Caenorhabditis elegans: one gene and its partners. The protein of the gene in region 2 purifies or fractionates together with the protein of the main gene of each other region. This does not show direct contact. Each region holds a gene or a part of one and is shown on either strand. Other genes may lie near its edges.

Region 1 (6,953 bases), on a different chromosome or scaffold from region 2:
AGTAATCACAAAATTCAACAACATGGCAATAATCATTTGTGTTTGGACATTCTAGGAGGTTAGGGACCTGCAGCAATGCTCTAAAATTCTAAGAAGTTTGGCAATTTACCAAATGCTTTAAACTTTGTAAGTTACAACTTTTTTTTTAGACTTACTCTATCAAGCTGCTCCCTCCAATTAGTTTCGAATAATTTAGTAAAATAAGTTCCTTCTATAGATTTCAAAGTAGCTATCCTTGTCTTAAAATATACACCTTCAACATCAAGCGATATTAATGGTGGAGGTGGCATTAGAGAGAAATTAACCACTTAAAAGGTGCGCGCGAATTCAAAAAGTGGTAGAGGTATTCTACCGAAAGCGACTAACAAATAATACCAGCTCAATTTCCATTCTTGGAGTGGGCGCTATTTGTCCAATATATAATATTGGAGTGTAGATTATGTTTGTGTTGGGGTGTGAAAATCATTGTTCTTTTGCCTTTGCCTCACTCGTTTTGGCTTGTACAAAACTTCTTTATACTCAATTGCTCGGCATTTGATGGATGAAGAGTGAACTAAGAGAGGAAAAGTTCGAAATTAATAATAAATTACATCAAAAAAGTAGTAAAATGAAGGAATATGATAGAAATGGAGACAATGAGAAAAACCGTGTTTGGGACTGTAGACGAAGAAAAAGGAAATAATAAGGAATTTGGTGTTTGCATGTTTGAAAGCAGAAGAAAAGAAGAGACAGAATGGGAAGTAGTACAGAAGAAAGGAAAACGAATCACAAGAATACGAGTAGGGTCGGATAAAATTTTGAATTTTACAAATGATGTTTATGGATTGCGGGGAGTTCCTGGAGTTGGTGGCGTTGGTGGAGCAATTGAACTGAACGATGATGAACGGCAAGATTCGAGGGAGGCAACGGATCCTCTGAAAACAAATTGCATTAATAAGGCTACTGTAATGGATAGTTTACGTTTTATGTAGACGCAAAAATTTTGCGAATTTGTGTGCCTAGAATATGGTGCCCGGTCTCGACGCGAAAGTGTTTTGCTAAATAAAAAAGAATGTGCGCTTTGAAAGAGTACTGTAATTTCAAACTTTCTTTGCTTAAATTCCGCCGAAACGAAAGTTTCAAGATACAGTACTATTTAAAGGCGCGCCCGTTTGTATTTAACAAAATTGTCGTGTCGAGACCGGCTACCGTATTCTAAGCGCAAAAATCGCAAAATTTCGAGTCTCCATAATATCAACTGTAATAAATGTGTAAAGAATTTACCGGAAATTTTCAGAGTTTAAAATCTCGTAATAGTAGATGAGACGACATTTGTGAGAACCAAAGTCAAAGGTTGATGAGTGGCCGGCTGCAGTTTCAGGGACTCTCCATTGCATGATATATGTACCAGCTCGTGAGCAATAGTGGGAACCCTAAAAAATACCATTTTTAAATGTATTTTTTATATTTTTTAAGAGTACCTGCATAGAATCTCCTTCCTGGAATACAACTGCCTTTTCCTCTAGACGTAGCTGTGGTGTTCCAATTTTAAGTTCAGGAGCACACTGAAGATCGGGATGTTGATGAGATGCTCCTCCGATTGCTGCAGATACCATCTCAACTGGATTGAGAATGGTTGTTGGTGATTGAGCTCCATCACGGACTGCTGGTTGCTCGATTTTCTAGAAAAATTTAAACGTTTAATTATTGAGAATGATAAATAATGTAGATTTACCTCAGTCGAAAAGTACAGACTGAATTCACAATCATTCTTAAGCACATCGAAATCCCATGTAAGCACGCAGCCAGCTGTCTCAATAGGAATGACAACTTCCACTGGGTATCCTCTCCAGGTTGCAGTACTTGTGTAGGTGGAATGAAGAGGATCTTCAGATGAGCTGGCACCTTCTTGCTCTTCAACTGGAAGGTACATCGATTTTGGAACGTGTCCACCAAGTCCACAATTTGTTGTGAGGCAGGATCCACCCAAAAAGTCAGGAATGAACTTTTCTTCAATATGTTTTCGGAGTTCTTCTTTCAAATCACCTCCGCTTCCACCACTGACCATAAACTTCTGAATATAAAATAATTATTAGTTTTATTCTAGACGGTTCCACCTTACCTTTCTTGTTTTCTCATCAATAAATGGTGAAATTAGAGTCCAAAGTACTGGAAATACTCTAGGTGCACGAACAACTAGAACCTGTCCCATTGTCTCCGGGTAGTTTGCTTCAACAATTTCAATAATCTTCAGAAGACATTGAACTCCAGGCCTCCACAAATGACGCATCGATAGACCATCCAAATCAACGACAAGACTCCATGAACTTATTGGTGTTCCGAGTTTTCTGGTTGCTTCGGCTGCTCGTTGCAGACCATCTTCACAAATCGAAAGAGTCAACTTGACCAGATTCTCGACGCCACAACTACGAAGCATTCCTTTCGTATCAAGTTGCCCGAATCTCAGAATGTACATTGGCCTTCCAGCTTTGTCCGAGTTATGCCAACATCCTGGGAAGTACTGCTTGATCACAGTCGGCCGAGTCCACTCTTCGAGAATCTTATCAACATTGTGTTGTTTCCGCCATATGATACTCGCGTGGACCATATCTTTCGCTTTCGCCACATCGAAATCTCGGGCTCGGAGGAAGCGGAGCAAGTGAGCATCGTTCGGTAGTTTTCCCTGGAAAACGAAATAATTTAATTTCAAGTTCAATCTATTTTGTTCTTTTTTGTTATGTACATACATGGGTTAGGTTCACGTCGATACCCAAAATTTTTTTTATTTTCAAAATTGACCCTAATGCAATTTAATCCCGAAATATGTTATTCACTGTAACTCGTGTCGATTCACAGAAATGATATTTTTCAATTTAATGAGAAATTGCTGCTAAGATTTTTCAAATTAATTACAATAGAGGCTGGTAAATGAACAAGAGTTACAGTAACCTGAGGTTCGCGTGGCGAGACCCATGCGCGTAAGATATCGCAAAAAACTTCATATTTGCAATGAAGCGAAATATTGGAATTTTTTATTACTCAAAAATAGCGGTACTCGGTCTGGATACGACAAATATGTGTTTATACGATTTTCTTCTTATTTTATTTTCACTTAAAAGTGGGTTGAACAAACAATGAATATCCACAACGAAAGATACTTGGGAACTACAGTACTCTTTAAAGGAGCGCATCCTTTTGCATTCAACACAATTTTATCGTGTCAAGACCGAGTACCGTATTTTTAGTGCAAAAATCGCAAATTTCCAGTAAAAATGAGATTTCTAAAAATATTTTATCGTATATTACCTTATGATGTGCTTGAAGACTGTACTTGATCTCACAAAGACGCGATTCTTCCAGTGGGCTCAATTGTCCAAGGAACCTTCTTATGTACTCGGCTTCAAGTTTGGAATCGGCTGAAAAAAAGTTTCGTATTTTAAAAATCACGGATCTTCAGCACAATATCTAATACTAACCAATTACAAATTTAACAGATTTTCTGCGTTTTCCACTTTTATCATATTTTCGTGAAAGCATATAGGCATATGTGTATCTCTAGATAGAAGTTGGAAACAAAACGTTGCAAAGGTAGCTGTTAGGGGAGATTGAGGGGATGAGATCGGTTCCTAGTGAATCGATAGATCGCGCTTCAAGGAGATCGCCGAAGAGCTGCACCTGGGTGAGATACGGCGAGAAGCTTGTAGACGCAGCAGTCAAAAGACCAAACAGTCTGAAGTGGCGCCGCGAGAGTACAAGATATATCCGCGCATGGTGGAGGAGGTGGTGCACTTCTGATTTACTGTTTCGACAGGCCCGTTCTTTGAACTTAATTTTTTTTTGTTTTGAATTTTCTTTATTGAAACTGTGAAGGGCACGACACTCACCAGGAAAATTAAAAAAATAACTACTAATAATAATAAATATTCGACAATAAATAATCATGCAAACACGGCATGCTGCCAATTTGAATTTTGTTGTATTTAGGAGGAGCTAAAAGATATGAAATAACATCACAGAAGCAGAACACCATTCAAAAAAGCAGGCTAAAACATGATAAAAATATGTATTTGGTGCCTAGAACATCGGCAACATGAATAAAGGGATCAGCAAGTGTCGAACCAAAATCACAACGCACCGTCGTCAAAACTGGCAGTTGCACGAGCAGTCCTCATTTCATCCGTCTCTGCAGCCAACATCGGTGGTCTATCGTTAACAAGAACTGCATCACCATCTGATAACTCTTTCATTTCGATTGCCGAATCTGAAATGTGTGTAATAATATCAGTAGGCACAGCACTTGAACGGCAACTCTCTATGTACAAATTATTATTTTTTCATTTATTATAAAGTCAATTCACAACCAACCTGTTGCCGACGTGGTTTCCTCTTGGTCCGCATCTCTAAAGCGTTCGATATGTGTAGTCTTTTTGAGTAACTCTTCAATGAAAAACTCGAGAATTTCCTTTCCCTTGGCCAAATTTGCTCCGTACTGTCGAACCGCGAGCTTCTCAACAGCTGATTCCAGACCGAAGAAGTTTTTCACATCGAGTGATGCTGACTGCTCGAAACACGTCCAATTTTCGTTCTCTGCATGAACCTGCAAACGAAATTATTAATGAAATAAAATTAAGAACAGGCTTTAATAGAATATCATGAATTTTTGCTGGGGTTCAGATGTTTTTCTTCTCGAAAATATGTTGTTTCAAAAAATTATCCAGACGCAAACTTAGATTTTTGGATCAAAAATATGGTACCCGGTCTAGACACGACATTTTTTCCTCAAATGCGAAATGGATGTGCGTCTTTAAAGATTACTGTAATTTCAAACTCTCGTTACTATGAAATCGACTTTTCATAGTTTTCGTTGAAAATAATTTATCTTGTTAGGAAACTGAAATTTTAAAAATTCAAAATATCGTGACAAAAAATATATAAAAATTTTTTTGGCATTTTTGGAATATGTTGATAATTATATTTTATCTTCTGAAATTTTTAGTTTTTATTATTTTTAAAAACTTACATAATATGTACAATTTTCTTTGACATTAATTCTGCTTGAAAATGAAATGTTTGTTGCCTCAATGTCAAGTGTTCTCTTCCTACGATCCAGTGAGTTCTTCTGCGAGAAATACACATAGTCGACTCCGGCAATTTTCTTTACAAGGTAAGGCGCTTCGACGTTGAGCTGACACTTTCGATCAATCACCCATTCTGCTCCATCAACACTTTTGTACTCGTACGTAACTTCTGATCCAACGAAAATCGGGATTTGTGGACAAGTCGGGAATCTCATCTCGTACGCCTGAAAAATGACGTCATTTGACAAATAAAGTTTGTTTTAAATGTTTCTTACCGCCATCACAATTTCGAACGGATGTTTGTAAATACGCACAGGTGACCTGTACGTTTGAACCATTTTTCTACTGAAAAAAAATTATTGATTAGTGAGAAAATTTAAGTTTTATCAGAGAAAGCGCAAAGAAAAACGAATGGAAAAAAGTGCGCTGAGGTTGCCAAGATAGGATCGTCAAAATAAAAAAATATCAACTGTTCCGTGGACTTTTGTTTTTGCCAAGAAAAATAAATACATTGTGAGGAATAGAACCAGGAACTAAAATCTATAATAGTCCACAGTTGTGTTTAATTGTTACAAACGAGACTTTAAAAGTTATGTGGAAGTTTGGAAGTTTTTTTGCGACGCCAAACAAAACGAGAAATATCAAAGATCACGTCACCTTATAAACACACGAACAGGAGTAAGAAAGAAAAATTTATGAAAAAAAAAATCAAGATGACGGGAAACCTAGTGATTAACGGGATTTGATTTATGCTCAGGTGCACTGCAACTTTTTCCTCACGAGGGACGAGGAAAAGTGGTTTCTAGGCCATGGCTGAGGGGCCGACAAGTTTCAGCGGCCATTTATCTTGCTTTGTTTTCCGCCTGTTTTCTTTTGTTTTTCACAGCTTTTTCCCGGTTTTTTCTTATTAAAACTGATAAATAAATACTTTTTGCAGATGCTAAAACAATTTCCAAGTAAAAAAATTATGTATTCAGTGGGCAAGCAGCGGTGAAAGTGGTCAATGCAATATGATGGATTACGGGAATACAAAACCTAAACTTTTTCTGAAACATGATACATACGATGCTTAGATGCTGATTTTCATAACGAGACCGCTGAAAAAGTTTTGAGGTTTTCAAAATTCAACTTTTTGTGCGAAAATCTCGACTTTTTCACCAAAAAAGTTGAATTTCGGAAACCTCAAAACTTTTTCAGCGGTCTCGTTTATGAATCAGGTAGTCTCAGCATTTAAGCAGCATATGTATCATGTTTCAGAAAAAGTTTAGGTTTTGTATTCCCGTAATCCATCATATTACAATGCCCACTTTCACCGCTGCTTGCCCACTGAATACATGATTTTTTTACTTGGAAATTGTTTTAGCATCTGCAAAAAATATTTATTTATCAGTTTTATTAAGAAAAAATGAAAAAAATCGATGAAAAACAAAAGAAAACAGGCGGAAAACAAAGCAAGATAATGGCCGCTGAAACTTGTCGGCCCCTCGGCCATGACCTAGAAACCACTTTTCCTCGTCCCTCGTGAGGAAAAAGTTGCAGTGAGGTGACCGCTAAAAAAATGTAAATATTGATAAGGACATAATAAAGTTAAAGCGACAAAGAAAAAACAAGGAAAATATGATTCAAAACGTATATTCTCTAATCGGAACAATACAATAGCGTCAACAATATGACACATTTATTGAAAATAGAAAATCCAAAAAGAAAATTGAATCAAAACTCTGCTTGGAGCGTAATACAACAATCCAAGAGAGAATAAATGATCTTTCAACTAGCTTATCAGTTTCAAATTCAATACAACCCATCAGTCTATTTCTATCAGAGAGTGACCAACGTTACTGATAAATAGAATACGACTGTTTTGGCTTGAAAAGTCTGTTAGATTGTTTCAAATGA
Region 2 (4,256 bases):
TTCTTGGCCTGTACAATTAAGCTATTAGACAACTGCGTGAAAGGTATCTGCTGAACGGAAATTAACTAATATATTATTTACACAAAAGTTGAGTATTATTATCTTTTTGTCCCTAACAATAACATTATGTTTCCTATTTTCACAGTCATAACCAGTTACGTAACAGTCTATGAAATCGTGAGAAAAGCTAGATAATTGAATATTTTAAGATGTTATACTTTTTTTTTATTTTCAGTTTTCACAGACAATACTAATAAACAAAGTCTACGAGAGTCTCTAAAATCGTGAGAAAAAACTAGACATATTTGTTTCAATACTTGAGAACTGGACTTTTAGCTCTTGCTAGTACAAAAAATCAGTATTAATGTCAGTTATTATTATCATTAACTCTATGATAAATATTCTAGTTTGTTACTCAAATATATGCTTCAATTTGATCCTTTTATTAGCAATTTTTTGCCTCAAAAAAATCACTTTTAAATCAGAATTATCCCTTTTTTATACAAGATTTGTTGTAGATATTGGATACAGTTTTTCAAGTAAGTTACCGAAAATCTACCGAATTAATTTTTGGTTCAGTTAGTATATTCAAAATGTATATATTGGCGATTATAGCCTCAAACATATTTGCCGTCAAAAATTTTATATTTTTCTCAATGTGGTCTAATATTATGTTTGGAACTATTCGTACAAGTCTCTTATTTTTAACTTCTTTGGATTGTTTTCCATTTACATTTTTATTTTTTTCCTGATATTATTTGATCAATTTATCATGTTTGGATACTGTGAGAATACTATTGATACTCCCATTGATTGCGACAATTTTCTTTGCTCTTTTAATGAGTGCTACATTATGTATTGGGTGAAAAATGAACAAATTGTGTTCAGTATGATTGTAGCTTTGACTATATTGCTATCAGTGAAGCTTGTAGTTTACACTGTCCTCGCACAAAATCAATCGGCTCAAGTTTATTCAAGAGTAGGTTGACTTTAATAGAAAATTAACGTAAAATTATGTATAATAATTCCAGGCTACCCAAATAGCTATGTTCGACTCGACGACTCTTATTTTATTTAATCTTATACCTGTTCTGTCTACTTTTTGGTTTGAATCTGTTGATTATCAAACATTTTCGTCAATCACTACTCTCACCAGAAATCTTGGATTTTTAATCAATACATTGATCATTTTTCGAATTTTCATGAGAGATGTAAATATTGTAGCGCCACCATTAACATATCCCAATTTGTAACGAGCTGTTTTTTTTTTAAATAAAATGATAAAATACTTGAACATTTGTTTTTAGTATACATTTAAACACAATTTGCTTGAAAATTTGGAGTATAAATTGAGTAAATTTGGAGTGTTCTTGGGTTGTACAATTAAGCTTCTAGGCAACTTGTAAGATATCTGCTGAACGGAAATTAGCTAATGTATTATTTACACAAAAGTTTAGTTTTATTTTTTCTTTTTGTCTCGAAACTAAAAAAAAAAACTTTAAAACATATTTAATTATGATATTCAGTCATTTCAGCATCATATAAATGGGGTTTAATCATGGCCCCATTGCTCGTGGTCCACATCTAAATAAAGAGAAAAAAAAATGCCAAAAGCCCATAAAAATGGTCAAGAAATCAAAAGTTCAAAGGTTTCTGTTTTTTTTTCAAAGTTTAGACATTTGATTTCACAACTTTCATTTTCAACCTACTAGAAAACAACACAACTCATTGTCAGCTGCAGTTTTCGACCAAAATCTAAAAGTGCATAGAATATGTTCCCATAACATCACATTCGAGTCAGAACCGCATACCCCGCCCAAGATTTCTAATCTTACAATTTTTCTGTTTTCTATCTCATTTGTGAGCAAATAGAGCCACGCGGATTTAAAATGCGGTGCAGCCTAACTTCTCCTTCAAAACAATGCTCTATATGTCAACGCCCAGCTTTTGGACAAAATTATGGCGTAAGTTTAGAAGGTTTAATGGAAAATATTGAAAAGAAAATTTAATTGAAAAAAAAACGATAATAAATTGTTGAATAAAATATTCCTAATTTTTTTGCCAAATAAGTTTCAGAGTTTCTCATGTGACGCGTGTAAAATGTTTTTCCGTCGATGTATCATGCTTGACCTACAATTTGAATGTATTTATCAAAAACGGTGCTTTGACAGTGAGTTCAACCTTGGAATAAAGTATTTTGGAAATATTTTGGAATAAGTTAATGGGGAAATTACTGAAAAATGTTGTACAAATAAAACTGGGTGCATCATTGAAAAATCGATAAGAAATTGCTCATTTAATTTGAAAAATTTTTTTTTTTCAAATTCCGAACAGTCCAGTACTTGAAAAATGCCATAACGAAGTCCAAGTCATTTTGAATTTTCAAAAAAAACCAGAAATTTTTTTTTCAGAATTCACAGAGCATCGCCGTGTGCCCCGTTGCAAAGCCTGTCGATTTCAAAAATGTCTGGACACTGGAATGTTCATAAGACCATCCACTCTTCCAAAAATCGAGTCTCATTCCGAACATGCTTTGGTGGCAATTTTGAGCCAACTCTCGTACCTGAATGCTCGGAGAATGACAGTTTTGCTGAACAAATTTTCGTTTGAAAATCCAAAATTGCAAGATGTGGCGAGGAGAAAAAAGTTGACAATTGTTGACCAAGTAAGTCAAAGTTTAAAATTTTTAATATTTAATCTGCACCTTATCAAATGTTTCACAACTTCACAAATGTTTCAAAAAGTTTCGTATACATTTCAAGAATTTATCTCTGTTTTTTGTAAACTTCCAGAAATTTTCAGAGGTTTCTCAAAAATTCCAGAAATATCCAGAAAGTTTTAAAATGTCTTATATAACTCCCCTTATCGGAACTCTCAATATTTTCCAGAACTCTCCAGAAGTTACACGAGTTTCTAGTACCTCTACAGTTTTTCAGAGTTCCGCCTATGATATGTCGGACGCTGATTGGAGGTTTTTCACGATGTACACAACGATAGAATTCCTGCTCAACTTGGATTTCATGGAAAAATTGGAGCATTCGGATAAGGTTACACGATAAGTAGGCCAGAATCTTCAAGCTTTTTACTCAGATGGTTCTGCTGCAAAATTTCTCTGCAAAAGCCACACTGCTATTCAACTCACTGAGAACTGTACGCGGGAATAATGACCGTTTGACCACTCCAGGAGGCCATGAAATAGTACCAGATCTTATGAGCACGTAAGTAAAACGAAAAAGTATCCTAGGAGATCAAATAATTTCAGACTGTTCAACGTGTCGCTGAGCTTTATTCGCCAAATACGCAGCCGAGTAGTTAGCAAGCTCATAGAGCTCGAGATCACCGATGAGGAGTTCCTCCTGGTTACGGTTATACTTTTTTGCGACCCAGGTAGGTATAAAAAACGAGAAGCTCGGAGAATTACCGTATAATCCAACACTAAACTTTCAGCCATATCCGGGCTATCATCACATGCTATATCGATCCTAACCCCCTTAAGAATATGCTACACATCTTGCCTCTTTCAACATTGCCAAATAACTTGCCAAAAAAACTTCCCAACCAAATTTGTGGATCTCCTCTCGCTAAGTCATGTTGTGAACAAGAACATTGAAGATATTCAAAGCCTGACAGTAATTGTAAAATTTTATTTGAAAACTTCAGAGTGTAAAAAACTATTCACAGATATTATATGAATTTTTTTACATTTAATGGTTCCATCCATGAAAATTTAAGTGATGAAGTGTGTACTTTGAGACATTTTACAGTGAAACTATCATCTCAATTATATAAGTGAAATTATCATCTCAAATTTCTGGACATTCTCAACATTTTGCCACAGAGTTCCCTCGCACTTCTACAGTCTCGCCTCGCATTTGGCCAGAGTTCATGAGTTCAGATCTTTCTGTGGAAGTGCGAGGGAACTCTTTAACAAAATTCCGAGTTTTCATTTGGCAGCAGCTGCTCTGCAACAGACAAATGGGCGGCGTCGATAATTAACTTTTCATTTTTTATCGGGCTGCATAAACGGAATTATATTATTAAGTTGACATAACATAATTTTCCATTTGCAAGACCTTGATTTCCTTGAACTCTCAGCCCATTTCAGACGAGATCATTTTCAAATTGGTGATAAGTTACAACGACCTTAAGCCCCTTCCGTTCAGAGGCTCCAGCAGACTACAGTTTATTTAAGCAATTGAATATTTTTGCTAGAAAACAAAATTGCTCTATTCAATATATTTTGATATTTTGATTAA
Region 3 (2,858 bases), 9.1 Mb from region 2:
AGATGTTTTGACCAACTCACGTCATAACAATTAGCTACAGTATCCTGGCTCGAAATGTTGTGAGCTCGTAATATCCGGCTTTTTTTTCTCACCTTTAGTACTTCAATGTGTTTTCCATAATGACTTAACCTCCAGATGTGTTGGTCATTTAGTATATTTCCTTTTGTCATTGCACAAACGAATCGTATAAATCAAATTTTATAATTTTACACAGAAATTGATAAGTTAGTTTATATTTTAATTTTGCTACACTTTCCAAGCAATATAGTTTTTCTATTGATACCTCGACAAAAGAAATTGAAGAATTTGTTAATACTATGAGAAAAATGTATTATTCTCATGAAACTGTTGAGAACCTACATTTCCTATATTATACATTCCAAATTCTATTTTCTCTTATTTCTCTGCTTCACTATGAAGCTCAACCTGTTTTTTGTTATTTGTATCTTTACTGTCTCAAAAACTACTGCTCAATTCGAGAATATAAAACCTTGTGTGATTTGCGATGATCATTGGTTTATTGTCCCAACCAGTTGGTTAAATATGTCTAAGTATTTGGTAAGAAGAACTCTTTGAAACTGCATTCTGTGTAAATAACCTCTACAAATTTTCAGCGAGGAGGTTGCAATCGTCTCCCGAAAGCTTTAATTTGGCCGTGTCGAGACCTCGTTGACTCAATGAATCTTTGGGATCAATACTCGACTCTTTATCCACATATTGTTGAGTTTCACAAGCAGGCATGCAAAATGTTATGCTGAGAAAAATTTTGAAAATTAATATAAATTTTATGATGATTGATTTTACACATATTCGTTCCATGTCAAGCACCGTCTCGAAATCAGGGAATATTACCCAGTTGCGAGAGAATACGATGTCCGGTCTCGCCACGAATGAAAAAAATCGGTCCACTTAGAGAAGTACAGTAACCAATATTTTAAAAACCTTCTCAGAGCTTCCACGGCCTTCTGGTGCCATATCCTTCTATTAACTATTGAAATGGTGTTTTAATTTGCAACTTTATTGTAAAAACTAACGATTGTTACAGCCAAATTAATAAAAATGAATTCGATCCAAGCTATAAATCTCTCTTCTTTGAAAAAAATCGAGCCGAATAAAACGAAACTATGAAATGAGTGTTGTCTGCGAACAGAGAATGATATTTTAGATATTTCCCCCCAAACTTCGAATTAAAAGATTTTGCCATATTTTGAGCAAGTGATCAAAATCAGAAGATCAAAAAATAAGAGCAAAATTCAAAAATGCATTTATTTTTGACCTGACAAGGAAGATAATTTTAAAAAAGTATTAAATATTTAAGGCAATTTTAGTTATTTTTAAAAGTAATATTTTCACATAAGGTATTTTTTCAATTGTTTGTAAAGCATTTTGAAAGAAAACCGCATTTGATATACCACGAAAAGAATGGCCGGGTCCCGACACGAGCGACACACACAGAACACCACTGCTACCGTAACCCTCTTCAATCTTAATCGCGCATTTTGTTATTATTTTTGTTTTGGGGATTGTTTTTCTATTGAAATTTAGTAATTTTTAAAGTTTTTTTCAAATTAATTTTATTTTAAAAATTGTGATCTTCCAATGCTGTCAATTTTGTGCGTTAACACTTGAAAAGGATCCTCTTCCGTTGAATTTATCATAATTTTTCTTCATAATTTCACATCTGACAATTTATCAATGTTGTTTCTTTCTTTTAATGTTAAATATTTCCAGAACTATGGCTCGTACCAAGCAAACCGCTCGCAAATCGACTGGAGGAAAAGCTCCCAGAAAAGCTCTGGCGACGAAGGCGGCTCGCAAGTCGGCCATTGTCACCGGAAGTGTCAAAAAAGTGCATCGTTTTCGTCCGGGAACAGTCGCTCTTCGTGAGATCAGACGCTATCAAAAGTCTACAGAGCTTCTGCTTCGCAAGCTACCATTCCAGCGTCTTGTCCGTGAAATCGCGCAAGACTTCAAAACCGATCTCCGTTTCCAGTCAGCTGCTATCGGAGCTCTTCAGGTAACGATTTTGAAATCCAAAACGTAGTTTAAAAAATAATTTTCCAGGAAGCTTCCGAAGCTTACCTCGTTGGACTCTTCGAAGACACCAACCTGTGCGCCATCCACGCCAAAAGAGTCACTATCATGCCAAAGGATATGCAACTCGCCAGACGCATCCGTGGAGAGCGCAGCTAGATCCCTGTTTTATTACTGCCCGAATAATTATTTTATCTTTACCGCTTTGTATTAATATTATGCCTCTTGATGAAATTCCGCAACGTCCTTCTCATCACACCTGCACATTTCTCATCCCTGTTTTCTATCGATTTAATGTATCGAATAAACCCTGCGTTCCTTTTTTGTTGCAAAATTTATTGTATTGCAATATATTGGTTACTAGTTCGCCAACGGATTCTTTTTAAGAGTGTATCACGAGTGGAGGCGCAGGCAGACACGATAAGTGCGTCAGTAGTGGTTCATTCCAATTTAAAAAAGAGTGGATTTACGTTAGAAGAGTCATATTAATTTTCCGGTGATAATTCAATTTTCTTTCTATTTAAAAATTCATTTTCAGAGTCTGACATGACATCGCTCGTGGCTTACGGATCTGACAGCGAAGGAGAAGACGATGATTTCTTTGGAAAACCGACAACAGAAAAAGAAGAAACGACGAAAAACGCGGAGAAAGAAAAAGAAGAAGAGGTTAGTTCTATCTATTAAAAATTCCGCGATCAATTCTCATTTTCAGAGCGAAAAAATAGCGGAATCTGATGAAAAGCCAACAATCTCTTCATTTTTCTTCAGTGGTGACGATGATAAAGCAGGATCAAGTGATTCGGATGATTCTGAAGGCGAATCAG

What was found. The genes of interacting proteins can lie anywhere in the genome.
Region 1: the proteins of nhr-222 (region 2) and T23G5.2 fractionate together in Caenorhabditis elegans (co-fractionation; one large-scale study listed by BioGRID). This does not show direct contact.
Region 3: the proteins of nhr-222 (region 2) and his-74 fractionate together in Caenorhabditis elegans (co-fractionation; one large-scale study listed by BioGRID). This does not show direct contact.

What each region holds. Positions count from the first base shown.
Region 1 is NC_003281.10:9,230,921-9,237,873, forward strand, and holds T23G5.2 (CRAL-TRIO domain-containing protein T23G5.2), read right to left. Parts: upstream 5,403-6,953; 5' UTR 5,396-5,402; coding exon 5,333-5,395; intron 5,282-5,332; coding exon 5,000-5,281; intron 4,577-4,999; coding exon 4,345-4,576; intron 4,241-4,344; coding exon 4,115-4,240; coding exon of another isoform or gene 4,104-4,114; exon of another isoform or gene 3,810-4,103; intron 3,396-3,809; coding exon 3,286-3,395; intron 2,663-3,285; coding exon 2,102-2,662; intron 2,054-2,101; coding exon 1,715-2,053; intron 1,662-1,714; coding exon 1,461-1,661; intron 1,413-1,460; coding exon 1,264-1,412; intron 915-1,263; coding exon 818-914; 3' UTR 501-817; downstream 1-500. Other genes in the region: T23G5.3 (uncharacterized protein), read right to left, coding at 156-290.
Region 2 is NC_003283.11:3,541,078-3,545,333, reverse strand, and holds nhr-222 (Nuclear Hormone Receptor family), read left to right. Parts: upstream 1-1,889; coding exon 1,890-1,964; intron 1,965-2,076; coding exon 2,077-2,170; intron 2,171-2,411; coding exon 2,412-2,665; intron 2,666-2,936; coding exon 2,937-3,047; intron 3,048-3,090; coding exon 3,091-3,218; intron 3,219-3,262; coding exon 3,263-3,387; intron 3,388-3,447; coding exon 3,448-3,692; 3' UTR 3,693-3,748; downstream 3,749-4,256.
Region 3 is NC_003283.11:12,659,204-12,662,061, reverse strand, and holds his-74 (Histone H3.3-like type 2), read left to right. Parts: upstream 1-1,731; 5' UTR 1,732-1,735; coding exon 1,736-2,017; intron 2,018-2,064; coding exon 2,065-2,193; 3' UTR 2,194-2,358; downstream 2,359-2,858. Other genes in the region: W05B10.3 (Saposin B-type domain-containing protein), read left to right, coding at 415-558, 615-758; ccch-3 (C3H1-type domain-containing protein), read left to right, coding at 2,581-2,700, 2,747-2,858. UniProt on the Caenorhabditis elegans protein: Putative variant histone H3 which may replace conventional H3 in a subset of nucleosomes. Nucleosomes wrap and compact DNA into chromatin, limiting DNA accessibility to the cellular machineries which require DNA as a template.